4 linked regions of the Mus musculus genome follow. Each later gene encodes a partner of the first gene's protein in a complex. Links are inferred from orthologs where the notes say so. Each region holds a gene or a part of one and is shown in the gene's direction. Other genes may lie near its edges.

Region 1 (4,026 bases):
TCTGAAGAACGTCTTTAAAATTTGTTTCAAATACCATTTTTTTGTGCTATTTGTTTTTCTCAACCGCAGAAATCTTTTCAAAAGAAAAATGTAACTGTCTACATTTTTCTTTTAATTACTTAATATCTATTATGTATGATATGTATAAGTACCTTATATATCTATCCACGTATACATACATACATACATTCATACATATATACGAGACGCACTCTTTCAAATAGATGCTTACAGCTCCTAAAGTTACCTGCTGGTGTAGAATAGCTGTGCATTTGGCAACAGTTCCCTGAGTAAGAAGATTAACATCTGAGAAGGAGAAGGCACTTTCCCCCAAGAACTCCCTTGGTACCCAGCAAATGACAGCAAAATGCCATCGCTTGGCATGGCCCTCCTCCCTCCCTCCAGCCCGGCTTAAGAGCCTTGGGCGCACTAAGGCTCCTCTTTCCTTGGCCTTCACTCCACTCTTATTAACCTAATAAGCACTACAATCCGCAAGCTGCTGCAGGAGGCTGCCCCATCTTGACGCTCCTTCTTCACTCAACCAGAGCGTGAACTCAGGGGGTGCGGTGGGGGTGGGGGCGCTCCACTTTCCCAGACACCAAGGAGGCTGGAAACTTTTATTGACTCCCCTCTTAGGGAAGCCACTAACTGGGAGCCCCTCGCACCTACCTGAGTAGCCGGAGGACTCTTTCCCAAACCTCTGCAAGATCCGCCAGCCCTTCGGCAGCCCCAAGCTAGCGCTTCCCTAAAAACGCAAAGGTTCCCTGAGCTACTCCTGGCTGTGGGTTGACACGCCCCGACCTCACCTGAGGGCGGCTCCGCCAGGAGACGGTTCAGGAAAGCTTCTGGGATGGTGGACCGGAGAAGGACTCCGCAGAAAACACAGTCATAGCCTGCCACGCTCGGACTCCGGGGCGGCCGCACCTTAGCAGCCGCTCCTCCCGCCTCCCGAGCCTTCCCCCAGCTCTTCCAGGGCGGCCGCAGACTCCCGCATTGCACGCCGGGAACGCGCCGCTCTTCCCAAAAACTTCCAATCCCAGGATGCACAGCCGCGACGCCGAACTGCACTCTGGGACGTAGAGTCCTCATCTCACGGCTCTCCCTCATCCACAGTAAGGAGGGCTTGGAGGGGAAATAGAGCCGTAAAGCTTTTTCCAGGGTCGTGAAATGTAGTCTTCCCAGGTATCCCGGGGCCTAGTTCCGGTCTTGGCAGGCTGGGGGGCGGGGAGTGGTGTCGCCTAGCAGCCGGCGCCGCTTCGGCTCGGTCGGGAAGAGTTGGCGGGAGCAGCCTGAGTGCGCGAGGACCGCTCTGGGAAGCGTGAGGCCGGGGCGGTGGCCGAACCCGGAGGTGGTCGCTGTAGATGAGTGACTGCTGCTGGTGGCAGGTCTTGGTTTCGGTGGGTGGATCCTCGTGAGCCGGAGCCGCTTAGTGTCGTTCACAGGATCGTAATCCCGAGGGACAGGGTGCAGCCCTACCTATCCAGACCTCTGTCGCTCTTGTCTGCAGTGTCGTCTCGGCCTCCCTGATTGAGCTTGATTCCGCAAACACTTCATTTAGCTCAGTCTTTTTATCTACTTTAAAAATCCTCTGGTCCCCTTTCCTCAGAAGGTTTTCAAAAACTTCCAAACATCTTGGGAGTTGGTACCATCATTGATGGTAGGGGACTTGGAAAAGGGGCCTCGGGGTTTTAGCTCCGAATTCGTCTTAGCAAGAAAATAATAATTTAGCGTGTACATTATCGTATAGCCTGTGTCAGGGGAACTAATTTTCGTCGAGGCTGTTTGCCTCTGCATCTGTTTTGCAGTTCAGGAGCCATAGCTCTTAGCCAGCACCTAGAGAGTTAAGTAAGACCGCTCATGATCATGTAAACACTGCAAGGCCATTTTCCTTGAAAATGCTAAAATCCACCTGCTTCTTTGTAGAGGCTGAGAGACAGTGAAAGAATTCAAGATGCCACCTAATATAAAGTGGAAAGAATTAATCAAAGTTGATCCAGATGACCTGCCACGGCAAGAAGAGTTAGCAGATAAATTATTGATATCTTTATCCAAGGTACTTAATAAATGATTTGTACACAGAGCCTGATGTACAATGTCATGAATTGAAATTGCTTCTTGAAATCATTGAATGCTATAACTGGAAGAGTGCTTGTATTTAATGTGCAGGGTATGAAATAGTCCATTTTTTGTGTGTTTGTTTCCTTAGGTGGAAGTAAATGAACTAAAAAATGAAGACCAAGAAAACATGATACATCTATTCAGAATTACCCAGTCTCTAATGAAGGTTTGTAGGAAAGAGTGTGTAGGAAAAGAAATATTTTTTAGGAGAAACATAAAGAGTCATAAAGAATCATATGGTCAAATAAAATACAAAATCTCTCCCCTATAAGCTATACATGAAATGATAAGAGGATTCTAGATTCTTCATAAATAAATACTGAGAAAGAATATGTATTCTTTACATTAAGGTAAAAGCATATAGAAAAATATTTGGGGCCAGTAATTTGGGATATACTGTTCAAGAGTTTGAGAGTATATTTTGGTTATCAGCATTTTAGAAGGGAATAAAGGTTTTTAAATCATACTTGGTAAAGAAATGTACTTATGAAGGCAACATTAAATGTGTTGTATAGACTGAAGGGATGAGAGCTGATTAGTTCCAATTATAAGAAGGAATTACTAAATTTATTAATAATAACAATTGGGATAGTAAAAAAGATATTGAAAACATTTTAAGTAATGGCTATAAAGTTTAACGGAAAAATCAGATATAATTCAAAGTCTTGCCATTCTGGAATTTCTAGCCTTATGTATTTATTCAACAACTATTTACTGACTGTCTCTGTGTGTTAGTCATCGTACACACTACAGACTGAGATAGCAAATTCCACACAGTTTCCATTCCCACTGTTTACATTACAGTGTAAATAATACAGATTCTTCCCCTCTCGTTTTAATGTTCAGATGAAAGCCCAGGAAGTAGAGCTCGCTTTGGAAGAAGTTGAAAAGGCTGGAGAAGAACAAGCAAAATTTGGTAAATGTCTTGGGAAAAAACTACTGTGGTTCCATTACTTATTAGACAGTATAAAATCTATCCTATTCTATAACATATGTATTCAATTTATACTGAAAGATGCTACATCCTTGTGCAGTTCCAGGTACTGGCCTGAGTGCTGTGGTAGGGGGTGAAGAAAAGAAAACACACAGACACTTAGAACAGTTGTTTTCGGTTGGACCAGGCTCTCTAATGGAGCAACTGCCCCACCCCAGAAGCTCACTGTCTGTATTATATCCACTTGACCAGAGCAGTGGAGTTGTTGCATAGCTGAACATAAAGTCGAGTGAGTGCATACAGATAAACATGAAGGCAGGGTTTCTGCTGTTGAATAGGGAGGCAGATTTATCAAATCTCAGTAGGAGTAGTCTCTATAAGGGAGCCATAAACATTAGGGGGACATTTTCTGCACACCCTGTCAACATCCACAGTCAGACGAGGAGGGAAGGCTTTGCCGTTTGCCATAGGCCTGAGACATTTGGAGTTCCTGACGTGGCTTTGCCCATGTCAGTAGTACACACTGACTCAGGGCTCATGCACTGAAGCCTTCCTCTGCTCTCTACATGAGGCATTTCTAGAATGCATATTTTATGCATTTAGTATATAATAATTACTTTCCTGTATCTGTTAAGGATGGAATCTTTTACAGAGAACAGTACTATTTTATTAAAGTTTACTTAAAATCTGATTATAGGAAACTTAACCAATTAAAACATTTGTGTTTTTTTTTAAATAGAAAATCAATTAAAGACAAAAGTAATGAAACTGGAAAATGAACTGGAGGTATATATATATCCTTTTATATTTCCTTGTTTTTGAATTTTCTTGTAGTTGTTATTAATTGCATTATTTTAAATTGTTTTCAAATCCTCCCAGATTGGAAAATACAAGATTTTGTGCTCATGCGTTTATTCATTACACAGAATGTGCTTTTGTGACTTGAGTTCTAAGAATTATGCATCCAGTGAAGT
Region 2 (4,251 bases), on another chromosome or scaffold:
ACCGTCTCTCTGCTCATGCGCAATCCAGGCCCAACCAGCCACCCCTTGGCGCTCTGAACGCGCGTGCGCAGACGTACTGCTTCGGTTACAGTGATTGGCGGGTGTGAGTGAGGAAGGCTGTTCTCTGCAGTGTAGTATGGTTTTGTGCATGCTCTATTTCTAGGCAATCTGTGAGCCCCTGACCCACCCCTGAAAACTTCCACTGGGGGGCGGGGATGTGAGGCAATTGTAAAATATACAAATCAAAAAGGTTTCTTTTTTTTCTTTTCATCATAATGAACCGCTTTGGAAGTGGAAAGCTGCAGAGTTTTCCATCCTCTCCTGTGATTTCTGTTAAACCTGAGAAAAACAGGGCAGTTGCATAGGCAGATAAAAGCAAGCTGTATTTACAACAGGCCTTCGGGCTGCCTTACCTAAAGTATGTATTACAGAAAGCATCCCTTCAACCTTTTATTACTGTGCTGTTAGGTGTATGTGACAATTCCCAACAATCACACTATGTGGCAGTTCTCCAGTCGGGGGTTTATTGGGATGGGAAATAGAGTTATCCTCTGGGAGAGGGAGGAGAACCAGGGACAGGGGAGAAAGGGAGAATGAGGCTTTTATTAGGCATTGTTGCGCTAACAGTCTGCAAGGCTGTGCACTTTAATAGGCAATATTCATGTATATCCAAATTTGGTTCTCAAACCAAGTGAGATGAGGTGTATATGTAGGGTGCTTTATGCACAATACAGAGAAAGTATGAAATCAAGATTCAGTAGGCAAGGTTTCTCCTAGACTTTTGTCATAAAGGTATTATATATAAAATCAATGAGGGTTTCTGTTTGTATTGCTTTGCTAAAACTCAAACTCAGGACTTGAAACAATCCCTACCCTTAGTGTTTTTTAAATAATGTAAAAACAAAGCCGGGCATGGTGGTGCACGCCTTTAATCCCAGCACTGTAGAGGCAGAGGCAGGCGGGATTTCTGAGTTCGTGGCTAGCCTGGCCTACAAAGTGAGTTCCAGGACAGCCAGGACTATACAGAGAAACCCTGTCTCGAAAATCAGAACAAAACAAACAAAAAAAGTAAAAACATAGGGCACCTCCTTTGTTGTCAAAATTAATCCCCTGGGTAAACTGTCATGTAGGTGTGATTGCCACTTTCATGAAACACTTTTAAGTGCTAAAACCATATATTTTCCATTGCTGTAGTAGTATTTCCTGACACGGTAAATTGACTGCGTCCCAGAGTTTTAAATACATTTTAAATAACCGCCCCTAATTTATTTAGCATATGTCTGATCCATTGTTTCCCGCGTGCGTGGTAACCTAGCAACCAGGCGTCGCAAGGTTGAGTTTTTTTTTTTTTTTTTTTTTTTTTTTCTGAACCCTGTTGTCCAATCAGCTCAGCGGACTCACCGAGGAGGCTGCTGGGGAGCTGGAGACTGCGGACCCAGGATATGGGTACCATGGTGACGCGTACAAGGCCTGTGGCGGCCATGGCGGTCAGATCTCGTTCTTCATCCCGGACTGGCACCGCCTACCTTCTCTTAGTTCTCTGCGAAGTCTCATGGGCACAAATCTTCTCCTTCCCTTTCCGGCGGCCTGAGACCTGCGACTTCAACCAGTACTTTGACATCTCGGCGCTCTCCTGTGCCCCCTGTGGCGCCAACCAGCGGCGGGATGCACTAGGTGAGGCGGTTTGGGGGTGGATGGACTCTGACCAAAATAAAGCACTCCTGACAGCCAGCACTCCAGACATTTTATTTGGAGAATGTTTCAGAAAATGCACAGCTATCAAACCTAAGAAAGGGTTTCCTGGGAGGATACGGCTGACACAATGAGATCAGTCACCCAGGCGCCACCACCCTACCCTCCTCCAGGAACTCATTCCCCGGAGTCAGTCTCTGGCAGGGAATCCTTAGGATGGCACCTGAAAGCCGCCTAAGAAAAGTAGAATAGAAATAGAAAAGAAATAACCTGAGGCGTCTAGTGAGGTACCCTGACAGGAAAGCAAGGGAAGAAATGTGAATTAGTAAACTCTTGTGACCATTAATTCTACTTCCAAATTCAAGATATTTAAAGCTGTTTGCAACTGTGACTATAATCAGATTTTGTAAGCAAAGGAAACTGAAACCGAGATGTTGTGACATCTGTGTGACATATACTGGAAACTAAGAGAACTCTTGTCTCTTCCTCACTTTCTTTTTTGTTTTTTGTTTTGTTTTGTTTTTCGACACAGGGTTTCTCTGTGTAGCCCTGGCTGTCCTGGAACTCTCACTTTGTAGGCCAGGCTGGCCTCGAACTCAGAAATCCGCCTGCCTCTGCCTCCTGAGTGCTGGGATTAAAGGCGTGGGCCAGGACACCTGGCTTCCCTCACTTTCTACCTCTGCATTCCCAGCGCGTGGCTTTGCATCTGTGGTTACATATTCCCTTAGGACCTGTCCCTTTTATTGTTGATGACTTCTGTTTGCTCACATTGTCCTTTTAGACTTAATTGCATCGATTGGTCTAGTTCTCCCTTAACTACTCAGAATGAGTCTTTTCCTATTTACTGAAGTCTAAAATGCTGTGAATCTCAGACTGGTTAACTCTCCTGCTTTAGGCCTGGTAGAGTCTCACTTAAGGCAGTGCGGATCACTGTGTCAGAAGATGGAGTGTGAAGAGCAAACGTGTTCTGCATTGTATTGCTTTCATGACAATGAATGAAGACGTGTGTGTTGTACATAGACTCCTACAGGTGCTGGCTCTACTTAGTCCTTAGAGAATTCTTTCTTTAACTAGCTGAGTCTACTTGTAATTACAAACAACATTTATTTTCTTTCTAGAGAAAGAGTATTTGAATGAAAGCAATTTTCCAATAAGATATTGACAAAATTAAAACTCACTAAACACACATACATATGGTTTAGTGATGCAGAAATGTAATTCCTAGAGCAAGTAAGTAGTTTTCATAGTTCAATAATAATTGCAGTTTAAAAAGTAGCAACATGATGCCAGACATATTTCTAAACTTTGACCCTATTAGGTAGGTCCTGTTTTTTTCTCCATTTTACTAAACAAGAAGCCGAAGTATAGAATTCATTAACCCACTCAGTGTTTGCATGTATACGCACAGACCCATAGACACATATACATGCACAGACAGACAGACAGAGAGACAGACAGACAAAGACACCTGTTGTCTCTCATATAATGCCCAGTCTGGCCTCGCACTGTCTGTGAGCAGGGATACCCTTGAAGTACTGCCTGAACTTCCTGCCTCTTCCTCCTAAATACTGAGGTTACAGGTATACACCACCACTCCAAGCTTCAAAATCCTAAGAACTGTTAAGTTTGTGTCTTGGAGTTTTGTTTGCTAAGGACAATATCAGCTTTGTTTTTTTTTTTTTCTTTTTCTTTTCAGGAACTTCCTGTGTATGTCTACCAGGATATCATATGATCTCTAATAATGGAGGACCTTCTATTATTTGTAAAAAGTGTCCAGAAAACATGGTATGAATAATTTATTTTAAAATAACTTTTGAGAAAAAGTCATAAATGTCTATCTCTCAGACTTCAGTATAATTTCCCATTTGTTCACATACTTTAAACTTTTTTTGTTTTGGGTTTTTTGTTGTTGTTTTTTTGTTTTGCTTTTTTTGTTTTGTTTTTTTTTTTGTTTTTTTGTTTTTTTGTTTTTTTTTGGTTTTTTGAGACAGGGTTTCTCTGTGTAGCCTTGGCTGTACTGGAACTCACTCTGTAGACCAGGCTGGCCTAGAACTCAGAAATCCGCCTGCCTCTGCCTCCCAAGTGCTGGGATTAAAGGCGTGCGCCACCACGCCCCGCTACTTTAAACTTATTAAGGTAATTTTATTAGTATACATTTTGAGAGATCAGTAAAGCAAAGAAGAAAACTTTGGGGAAAAAAGACAAATTCATTTTGTTCTGAAAGTGGTTGAGTCAGATATCCCAAGTACAAAGCTGTGAAAAAAAATCTTTCTGTTTGCCTCACAGAATAACTAGGGTATAAAGAGAAGCTGAGTATTCCCTATGTAGAGCCATTCGGGGTAAAATGTCTTTGCTGTAGATGGCATTCGCTGTCTTAGATGTACTGTGCTGATCGTCTTAAATGATGCTTGATCCTCCTAATGCTACATGAGGTTCAGCAATCCTCATGCTACATTAGGTACAGCAAGTCGATGCATTGCCGGTTGCATCAATAGAAATGGAATCATTCGAAGTTTGCTTAGTTTCCTCATTACATAATGGTTCAGGGAAATTCGACTA
Region 3 (4,298 bases), on another chromosome or scaffold:
TGGGTGTTTTGCCTGCGTGTGTGTCTATGGACCATGTGTCTGCAGTGCCCACAGAAGCTGTTGGATCCCCTAGGACTGGAGTTACAGTTGGCTCTGAGCCCCTGTGTGGGTGCTGAAAGTCAAACCTTGATCCTCTGGAAAACCGGCCTCTCCAGCTTACTTACATGTTACACTACATTTACTTATTCATTATTTGTGCATAGATGCAGATGAGCACCATGACAGGCATGTAGAGGTCAGAGGACAGCCTTTCCAGAATTAAGATAGATGGTGGGAGCTGGAGAGATGACCCAATTGTTAAGAGCACCGATTGTTCTTGCAGAGGACCTGGAGAAAGGAGAATTGAGGGCCAGCACAGGCTACATAGTAAGACCCTACTTCCAAACAGGTAAAAATCTGTCTTCCATGTTAAGATATTGGTGTTAGTATTTACCTAAGTGATCAGCTAATGCTAACTTTGGGGAAGACAGTATCAGTGTTTATAGCTAACAAAGTACAACAGAAGGAGCCATTTAGTAAAATACCCTTTAACCTTTTTTTTTTTTTTTTTTTTTCCGAGACAGGGTTTCTCTGTGTAGCCCCGGCTGTTCTGAAACTCACTTTGTAGACCAGGCTGGCCTCAAACTCAGAAATCCGCCTGCCTCTGCCTCCTGAGTGCTGGGATTAAAGGCGTGCACCACTACGCCCGGCCTTTTATTTTTTGTTTTTGTTCTAACCTTTAAATAATCAGGGGGTTTGTTTCCTGTTTTCTATCTTTCCTGCTATGGGGCATAGTGAAAGCATTAACCTTGAAGACAAAAGTACCTGGTTCTAGGACGGTGGCCTTGTTATAGGAATGTCCCGACTTCAGTATGAACCTCAATGGAGTTTTTGCATTGAAACAAAGTCTCCAGTATCTCTGGCTGGTCTCAAACTCACAATGTAGCTAAAGATGACCTTGGACTTCTGATCCTTCTGTCTTCACCTGAAGAGTTGTTAGTGTTACAGATGTGGGCCAAGGTGCCTGGTTTAATGAAGTGCTGGAGATGAACTCAGGGCTTCCTGTATAGTAGGCTAGCCCTCTACCAACTAAGCTACATCAACCATCCTTATGTCATGAGTTAATAGATGATCTATGGGGTGATGTCAACATCTATGCACGTCTGATTTTGTACAATTGACACAGACTTTGGTGAGTGAAAATATCATTACAGTTGCTTTCTTTTTTTTTTTTTTAAGATTTATTTATTATATGTAAGTACACCACTGTAGCTGTCTTCAGACATTCCGGAAGAGGGCGTCAGATCTCATTATGGATGGTTGTGAGCCACCATGTGGTTGCTGGGATTTGACTCAGGACCTTTGGAAGAGCAGTCAGCGCTCTTACCGGCTGAGCCATCTCACCAGCCCATACAGTTGCCTTCTTGAAGAGACGCGCAGGCACAGCACTAACACAGGACCCTCCTCCTGCTAGCTCCACCCCCTTCTAGAGGCCTGCATGCCTGCTATTGGTTCCTCTGCCCGCCGTCGGTTGCCGTGGAGACTCGGCGCTGCGGCCCTGCGCTCATGGCGCTGTACCATCTCTTCTCTCACCCAATCGAGCGCGCTTACCGCGCGGGGCTCTGCTCCAAGGCCGCGCTCTTCCTGCTGTTGACCACCGCGCTCACCTACATCCCCCCGCTGCTGGTGGCCTTCCGGAGCCACGGTGAGCCTGCCCGGGCCTGGAGGGCCACACGGCGCGGCCGGCGGGCCCAGGCCGGCAATCCTAACCTGGCTCCCCCCAACCCGCCTTGTCTCCCGCAGGGTTTTGGCTGAAGCGGAGCAGCTACGAGGAGCAGCCGAACGTGCGCTTCCAGCACCAAGTGCTGCTCGTGGCTCTCCTGGGGCCGGAGCCTGAAGCCTTCCTCGCCTGGAGCACGTTCCCCACCTTCAACCGGCTGCAGGGGGCTCACCTGCGCGTCCCGCTCGTGTCGGTGCGTGGTTCCCGCCCGGATCCTGGGGGTGATAGGATGGAGTGAGATCCCAGTTTGGGTCATTTGACCGGGTGTGAGAGCAGAGTCTCGTGTATCCCAGGCTTGCCTTAAACTATATAGCCAAAGTCGTCTTTCAACAACTGATACTCGGCCTTCACCTTCCCAGTGCCGGGGATTCGCTATGCAACGCCCTGCTGGGGTATATGGGGTGCTGGGAATCAAACCCAAGGCTTTGTGCTTGCATGCAAGGACTTAACCACTGAGCCACTCTCAGTCCCACAGCTTGGATCTTAAGGAGCCACGAGGGTTGGAAACAAAAGTCCCTTTGGCCTGCGCATGCTTAACTTTCTAGATAGTTTTATTCAGTTTCTCCAGGTTTCCCTAGAAAGGCAGCCGTGCAGGCACTGTGTTTGCCGGACAACAAGAGTCCAGAGCCTGTTTCTGGTGCTGGTCATTTTCTGAATGGAAAGGTGGCTGAAGAAAAAACCCCTTTGAGGGCTTGTAGGCGGAGTTCTGTACACCCCAGTACGCTGCTGAGTTTGAACATCACCAAGCTGTAAAGACAGAAAGTACCAGTGTTTTTATGCAGACTTGATGCGGGGTAGGGCGGGGCAAGCGGTGATTGGTTGAATTCTCAGGTCCTGCTCTAGCCAAGCCACGCCTGTCTGGGTTAGGCTTCTCAACTCTTTGCCACACTGCAGCTGTCTCCTGTGTAAGGGAAACATTTTACTGGCTGCAGTTTAGTGTTTACTTTCGCATAAATCAAGTGCTTCCTTACGGTCATCCCTTGCCGTTCATATAATGACATGGGCAGAGTGATGACTTTAACTAGGTGTTTGTTAGTAAATATTTTGTTTCTAACCTCCACCTGAGGCAGGATTGCCCCCCCCCTTCCCTGACCTATACAGCAAGCTCAGGGCTATTCAGTCTCAAAAGCGTAGCGCTGGCATGTAAAGTCAAAAGACAACTTGGAGGGGTCAGTTCCCTCCTGTCACTGTCCCGGGAATCCAGCTTGGATTCCCAGGGTTGGCTGCAGGAGTCTTTACCTGCTGAGCTATCTCATTACCCATCCTTGATTTTTTTTTTTTTTAATTTGCTCCAATCGTTTTACTATTAAAATTAGTAAGTGAATAAACAAAGCTTTAACTAAATCCTACAGCTTTTTTATTCTTTTTGAGATGGGTTATTGCTATGTTGCCTGCCCAAGCTGTAAGCCCAGTTCAGCCAGCTACGAAGCTGGGACTACAGACGTGAGGCCCAGACTTAAGTCATGCACGTCTGAATGCCAGTGGAAGCGTTTTGTTGAAATTTCATGCACTTAGAGAAAACAAAGCAAGCAAGTAAAGTAATTGTTAACTGCAAGGAAATAAGCCACGAGAAGACGCTAGGAAGGATGCGCAGTCAAGGTTGCGAACCGGACTTGCGTAGTAGTCTTAGTTACGACATGAAAGGCTGACTAAGCAAAATGCGCACCTAGGGAAACTGAAGGGATGAGAGAGGGGGAGGTGCGATGGGGCCTGGTGGGAGTGGGAGGGGAGCGCAGGCTCCAGCTTCCCCCGTGGAATGTCAGTAGAGGATTCTCATGAAAGAGGTGGAGACTCGGCAAATCTTATTTAAACATCTGGAAAGCGTTTCTTTCTATTTGTTAGAACAGGGTTTCTCTGTGTAGCGCTGGCTGTCAAATAACTTGCTCTGTTGACCAGGTTGGCCTCGAACTCAGAGATTTGTCAACCTCTCCCTCCCCTCTGCTACTACCGCCAGCCACCCAGCCTGGGGAGGGCTTCTAACACACTCTCATTAGGTAACTAATGCAAAAGTTTTTGCTTTGGAAGTTTTGTTTTGTTTTAACATCATTGCACTCTTTTATTCTTCAGATGGTCAAGACTCTTCCCCCAGGCCACCAACACATACCCTTTTAGTTTCTTGAGACTGCATGTCATGTCATCCAGGATGGCTTGGTTTTGTAGCCTAGGATGACCTTAAAGACTTTGTGTTTCGGTCTTCCAGCCTGTGCCTGCTCAGCGCTGAGACTGCAGTTGTGAGCCACCACGCCTGCTTTTACTATTTATGTACTTACCTTGCTGCTTTGCTTATTTTATTCTCTGTGTGTGGGTACTTTGCCTACATGCACATATATGTATACTATGTGATGCCTGGTGCCTCGGATCCCCTGGAACTGGAGTTATAGACAGTTGTAAACTGCCCTATGGGCCCTGGGAATTAAACCAGGATCCTCTAGAGGAACCGCCAGTGCTCTGAACTGCTAAGCCAGCTCTCCAGCTCCATTTATTAATTTATTTATCCCTAAGACAGGGCTTTGTAATGAAGTCCAGCTATGGGCCAGGT
Region 4 (4,219 bases), on another chromosome or scaffold:
TATTTGGGTGCACACACTCATGCAGGTGCCCCCAGGGACCAGAGGACCGGTTTATATCCTTTAGAGCTGGAGTAACACAGGTGAGAAGCCACCATGCTGGTGCTGAGAACTAAACCCTGGTCTTCTCCAAGCAGCAAGGGCTCCTAATGGCTGAGTCATCTCTCTAGCCCCTAGATGGACTCAGTGAATTATGATGGAAAGAAAGAAAGAAAGAAACTAACAAATGAGTCCCCACTGTCCCCTAAGGCTTTCGAAATGTATGAGCAGATAACAGTCTACACCTTGAAGTCAAATGTCAGAAAATTACATTGAGGCTTGAGACTGGATAAAAGGATTTTGAGAACTTTTCACAGAATGATTTGAAGCACAGGGCTGTAAGACTTAAGGAAGGGCTGGAGAGATGGCTCAGCGGTTAAGAGCTTGGGCTGCTCTTCCAGAGGTCCTGAGTTCAATTCCCAGCAACCACTTGGTGGCTCATGTCATGTCTATGACTGTCTCATGGGATCTGATGCCCTCTGCTGGTGTACATACATACAGACACAACACCATATACAAAAAACAAAACAAAACAAAACATAACTAACCCTTAAAAAATACCTGAGAGACAGAGGCAGGTGGTTCTCCGAGTTCGAGGCCAGACTGGTCCACAGAGTGCATTCTGGGACAGTCAGGTCTACAGAGAGAAACCCTGTCTCAAATTCCTCCCCCATCCTCCCCCTACCAGTAAACACACACACACACACACACACACACACACACACACACACACACACACGATGAGAAGAACATTCCAAATGATATAATCATAAAGGCAGATATGGAGGTTGGATGCGGTGGTGCATGCCTGGCATGAGGCACTGACATAGGGCTGCCTTGGGTTCGAGATTAGTCAGGCACAGAGAGATCCCGTCTAAAAGAACCAAAAAGTTAAGAATTCTTTTGTTTCTCTTATCATAAATAAATCCGTGGACAGAAGTGCTCTGGCGACCTCCTGCGATGTATCCAAAGGCAAAGAAAGTAAAGAAAGTGTTACATGGGGTAAGAAATTCAATGTAACTTAAAGGAACCAAGTCACTTCTAAACATGCGCTGCGGGTCTTTTATTAGAAATACTCTCTTCTAGGCTCTGCCCTAGTCTTGACTGACTCCGAATTCTGTGAGGCTATAGCTGGGAATCTACATTTTTAAAAAAAAAAAAAAAAACAACCACGCAGCACCCAAAGTGTCACAACAGAAGTTTACATCTTCCGATTTTCTGAGGGCTCCTTAGAAAGAGCTGTCTCATACCCCGCCCCCACCGGCCCCGCCCCTCCTCTCCGATTCCGCCCAGGCCCCGCCTATAGCCTCGCCCAGCTCCCGCCCCATTCGCGGGTCTGACTTCAGGCCCCACCTTCTTCCGCAGACCAGTTTGGCCTCGCGAGCCCTTTCCCGTGATACCTAGCGCTAGGCTGTGACTGTTGCCCGGGCAACAGACGGGCCTAGCTCCCCGGCGCGGGCTACTCTGCTAGGCCATGGGGTCGCGGGGTCTCCCGCCGCTCCTGCTGGTGCTCCTAAACTGCTACACCTCTTCGAGCACCCAGGTCATTGCCATCCCGGCTGCGGCCACCCCAGCAGTGACGAAGGAGGATCTCAATTCCACCAAGGCCACCCCCACCACTCTGCAGCCCTCCCTGTCGCCTAGGACCCCGGGAACTCCCAGGGCACCGGAGCGCTCTGGCCCCAGGCCTACCCCGGTCACGGACGGTGGGTACAAAGGGGTGACCCCCCTGGAGCGGGTACACCAGCTCAAAGTTACCCCCTTCTCAGCCTCCCTGTCGTTACCCTCAGGGGGAGATCGGATCTCTGGCACACAAATGCGGAGGGCGGGGCTCAGTTACTCCCTTTTCCGCATCATTGCAGACGGCTGCAGTGGGGTACTAGATAGAAACCTACAGAATGAGTTGAAGGCAGTACTGGTAGAAGAAAGAGTGCTAAGTGGATCTTCGTCCTCTCCACGCAGACACACGGACATGGGCATCCCAGTTGTGTCTAGATTACTGAGAGCCCAGCAGATATTTTCAGGGTGATTAAGTGCGTTTTAGACATTTTTTACCAGCTAAATGGAGTTATTAAACACACCTGTTTCATCCGTATCTACTTACCGCTCGGAATTTGAAGCTTTGGCAACAATTCGTGGTTGTAAATTTAAACACATGAGGTAGTGGACTTAATTGCTCTCTCCCTTTTACCCATCCCAGTGAAGGGAGTATGGCGTTCTTTTAGTGAGTACGCGCAGTTGTCCATGGCTAGAGAGGACCTAGTCAAGGAGGAGCTAATTTGTCTTTCGGACTAAGAAAGCATTTTTCATTTATCAATAAAACTCCCCTTTCCCTTCGTGCCTTTCCAGAGCGTTATACCACTTTCGGGGGGAATTTTTTCTAAATCTTAAAAAAGTATTTTAAATTGTGTGTGCATATTTGTATATGTTTGTGAGGATGGGGTGGATATATATTGGCGCCCTTGGAGAACCGAAGTGGGGAGCTGGAGTTTGTTTGAGAGCTGGCTGACTTGGGTCCTGGGAACAGAAGTTAGGTCCTGTATACAAGCAGTATGTGCTTTTAACTCCTGAGCCATCTCCCCAGCCTGTTCTAGAACCATTCCAGTCTCCTGCCTTCGCCTTCTTTCCTAACTTTGTTCCTGACAGGTTTGCTAAGTGACCCAGACTGGCCTGTAACCTGACATCTTCCTGACTCTGCCTCCCAGTTGCTGAGATTCCCAGGTGTGGGCCTCCCAGCCTGCCTCCCATCTCTAGAGCTTGTTTTTTTGTTTTGGTTTTTTTTTTTTTGTAAATTTTGAAACCATTCATTCATACAAATAAGAATGCTATGACATCCCGTCAGCATTTGGCTAAAATTCTTTGTTTGAAGCCTGAGATTATTGCCCCTCTTCCCCAAAAGGAAACCAAACATTACAGTTAAGATGCAGCCCAGGGGGCTGGAGAGATGGCTCAGTGGTTAAGAACACTGACTGCGCTTCCAGAGGTCCTGAGTTCAAATCCCAGCATCTACATGGGTGGCTCATAGCCATCTGTAATGAGATCTGGTGCCCTCTTCTGGTGTGTCTGAAGACAGCTACAGTGTAACTCATATAAATAAATAAATTAAAAAAAAATCAAGCCAGGTTGTGCAGGTGGTACACTCTTTAATCCTGGGGAGGGGTGGGGGAATCTCTGAGTGTGAGGCCAGCCTGATCTACAAAGTGAGTTCCAGTCAGGGCTACACAGAGAATTCCTGTCTCAAAGAAAAACAACAAGAAACAAACAAACAAACAGATTCAGTGACACCTTAGCTGGGGAAAGGCAGGAACCATGGTGGAAGGCACCTGTGACCCAAAGTAGCCTCTGCTTCAGGAAGCAAAGAGCAAACAACCAAAATTGCCAAAGCCCTGGATGCATTATTTCCTCTCTCCTCACAGTAGTCTGTGCCATGAATTCAGTTTGTTATCTTTGTGCTATATATTGTTTCTTGTTGTTGTATGTTGTGGTTTTTTTTGAGATTATCTTATCTATCTGTATGCCATATACGTGCCCCGTACCTTCAGAGGCCAGAAGAGGGCATGAGATCCCCTGGAGCCAGAGTTAGAGATGGTTGTGAGCGGTCCTGTGGGTTGTGGACACCGAAGTTAGATCCTCTGCAGGAGCAGCCAGTGCTCTATCGCGATCACCCCGCCTCTTTAGCCCTCTGTTGTTTCTTTGAGAGGGTTTTCTCCATTGACAGAGATAGAATGAGCAGGGTAGTAAAGACAGTAGTAAACTGAGCCAGTCTATCGCGTGCTCAGTACTCTGCGAGGAAGCTCTCCCTTCTGCTCTCGTGGAGGTTCTCTGCCTGATCGATGCGAGTCCTGAAGACTCAGTCACAGTGGCTGTCAGGGTGGCTGAGGTCTGAGTTGCTGTCTGGGTGGGGGTGGGGGGATGTCCCTGCCTTTCCTCCATGTTGTTGTTGTATCCTGTCATAAATGCATTACCTTATATTGTAAAATTTTAAATTACAAAAGGACATCATAAGCCAAATTAGGAACATTTGATTATTGGTCAGGATCTTACGACTTTGAGTTCAGCAACCGGCTGCATGTGAGGAAAGGGACAAGGCTGCCAACAGTCCTTCCTTGGAATCTGCTCTGAAGGAGACGTGTAGACCCCTGCAGCCACCTTAGGGAGACACTGGGGTGGGGTACTCAAAGTG

The links. The genes of interacting proteins can lie anywhere in the genome.
Region 2: Cep290 (region 1) and Tmem67 share a complex: the UniProt entries of both Homo sapiens proteins name them as parts of the tectonic-like complex. The link is inferred for Mus musculus from reciprocal best matches to the Homo sapiens genes CEP290 and TMEM67.
Region 3: Cep290 (region 1) and Tmem231 share a complex: the UniProt entries of both Homo sapiens proteins name them as parts of the tectonic-like complex. The link is inferred for Mus musculus from reciprocal best matches to the Homo sapiens genes CEP290 and TMEM231.
Region 4: Cep290 (region 1) and Tctn1 share a complex: the UniProt entries of both Homo sapiens proteins name them as parts of the tectonic-like complex. The link is inferred for Mus musculus from reciprocal best matches to the Homo sapiens genes CEP290 and TCTN1.

The regions. Positions count from the first base shown.
Region 1 is NC_000076.6:100,486,356-100,490,381, forward strand, and holds the start of Cep290 (centrosomal protein of 290 kDa), read left to right. Parts: upstream 1-1,226; 5' UTR 1,227-1,397; intron 1,398-1,923; 5' UTR 1,924-1,951; coding exon 1,952-2,053; intron 2,054-2,206; coding exon 2,207-2,284; intron 2,285-2,964; coding exon 2,965-3,034; intron 3,035-3,791; coding exon 3,792-3,838; intron 3,839-4,026. UniProt on the Homo sapiens protein: Involved in early and late steps in cilia formation. Its association with CCP110 is required for inhibition of primary cilia formation by CCP110.
Region 2 is NC_000070.6:12,085,138-12,089,388, reverse strand, and holds the start of Tmem67 (meckelin precursor), read left to right. Parts: upstream 1-1,451; coding exon 1,452-1,674; intron 1,675-3,388; coding exon 3,389-3,477; intron 3,478-4,251. UniProt on the Homo sapiens protein: Required for ciliary structure and function. Part of the tectonic-like complex which is required for tissue-specific ciliogenesis and may regulate ciliary membrane composition.
Region 3 is NC_000074.6:111,931,014-111,935,311, reverse strand, and holds the start of Tmem231 (transmembrane protein 231), read left to right. Parts: upstream 1-1,498; 5' UTR 1,499-1,545; coding exon 1,546-1,684; intron 1,685-1,782; coding exon 1,783-1,952; intron 1,953-4,298. UniProt on the Homo sapiens protein: Transmembrane component of the tectonic-like complex, a complex localized at the transition zone of primary cilia and acting as a barrier that prevents diffusion of transmembrane proteins between the cilia and plasma membranes.
Region 4 is NC_000071.6:122,261,661-122,265,879, reverse strand, and holds the start of Tctn1 (tectonic-1 precursor), read left to right. Parts: upstream 1-1,419; 5' UTR 1,420-1,510; coding exon 1,511-1,742; intron 1,743-4,219. UniProt on the Homo sapiens protein: Component of the tectonic-like complex, a complex localized at the transition zone of primary cilia and acting as a barrier that prevents diffusion of transmembrane proteins between the cilia and plasma membranes.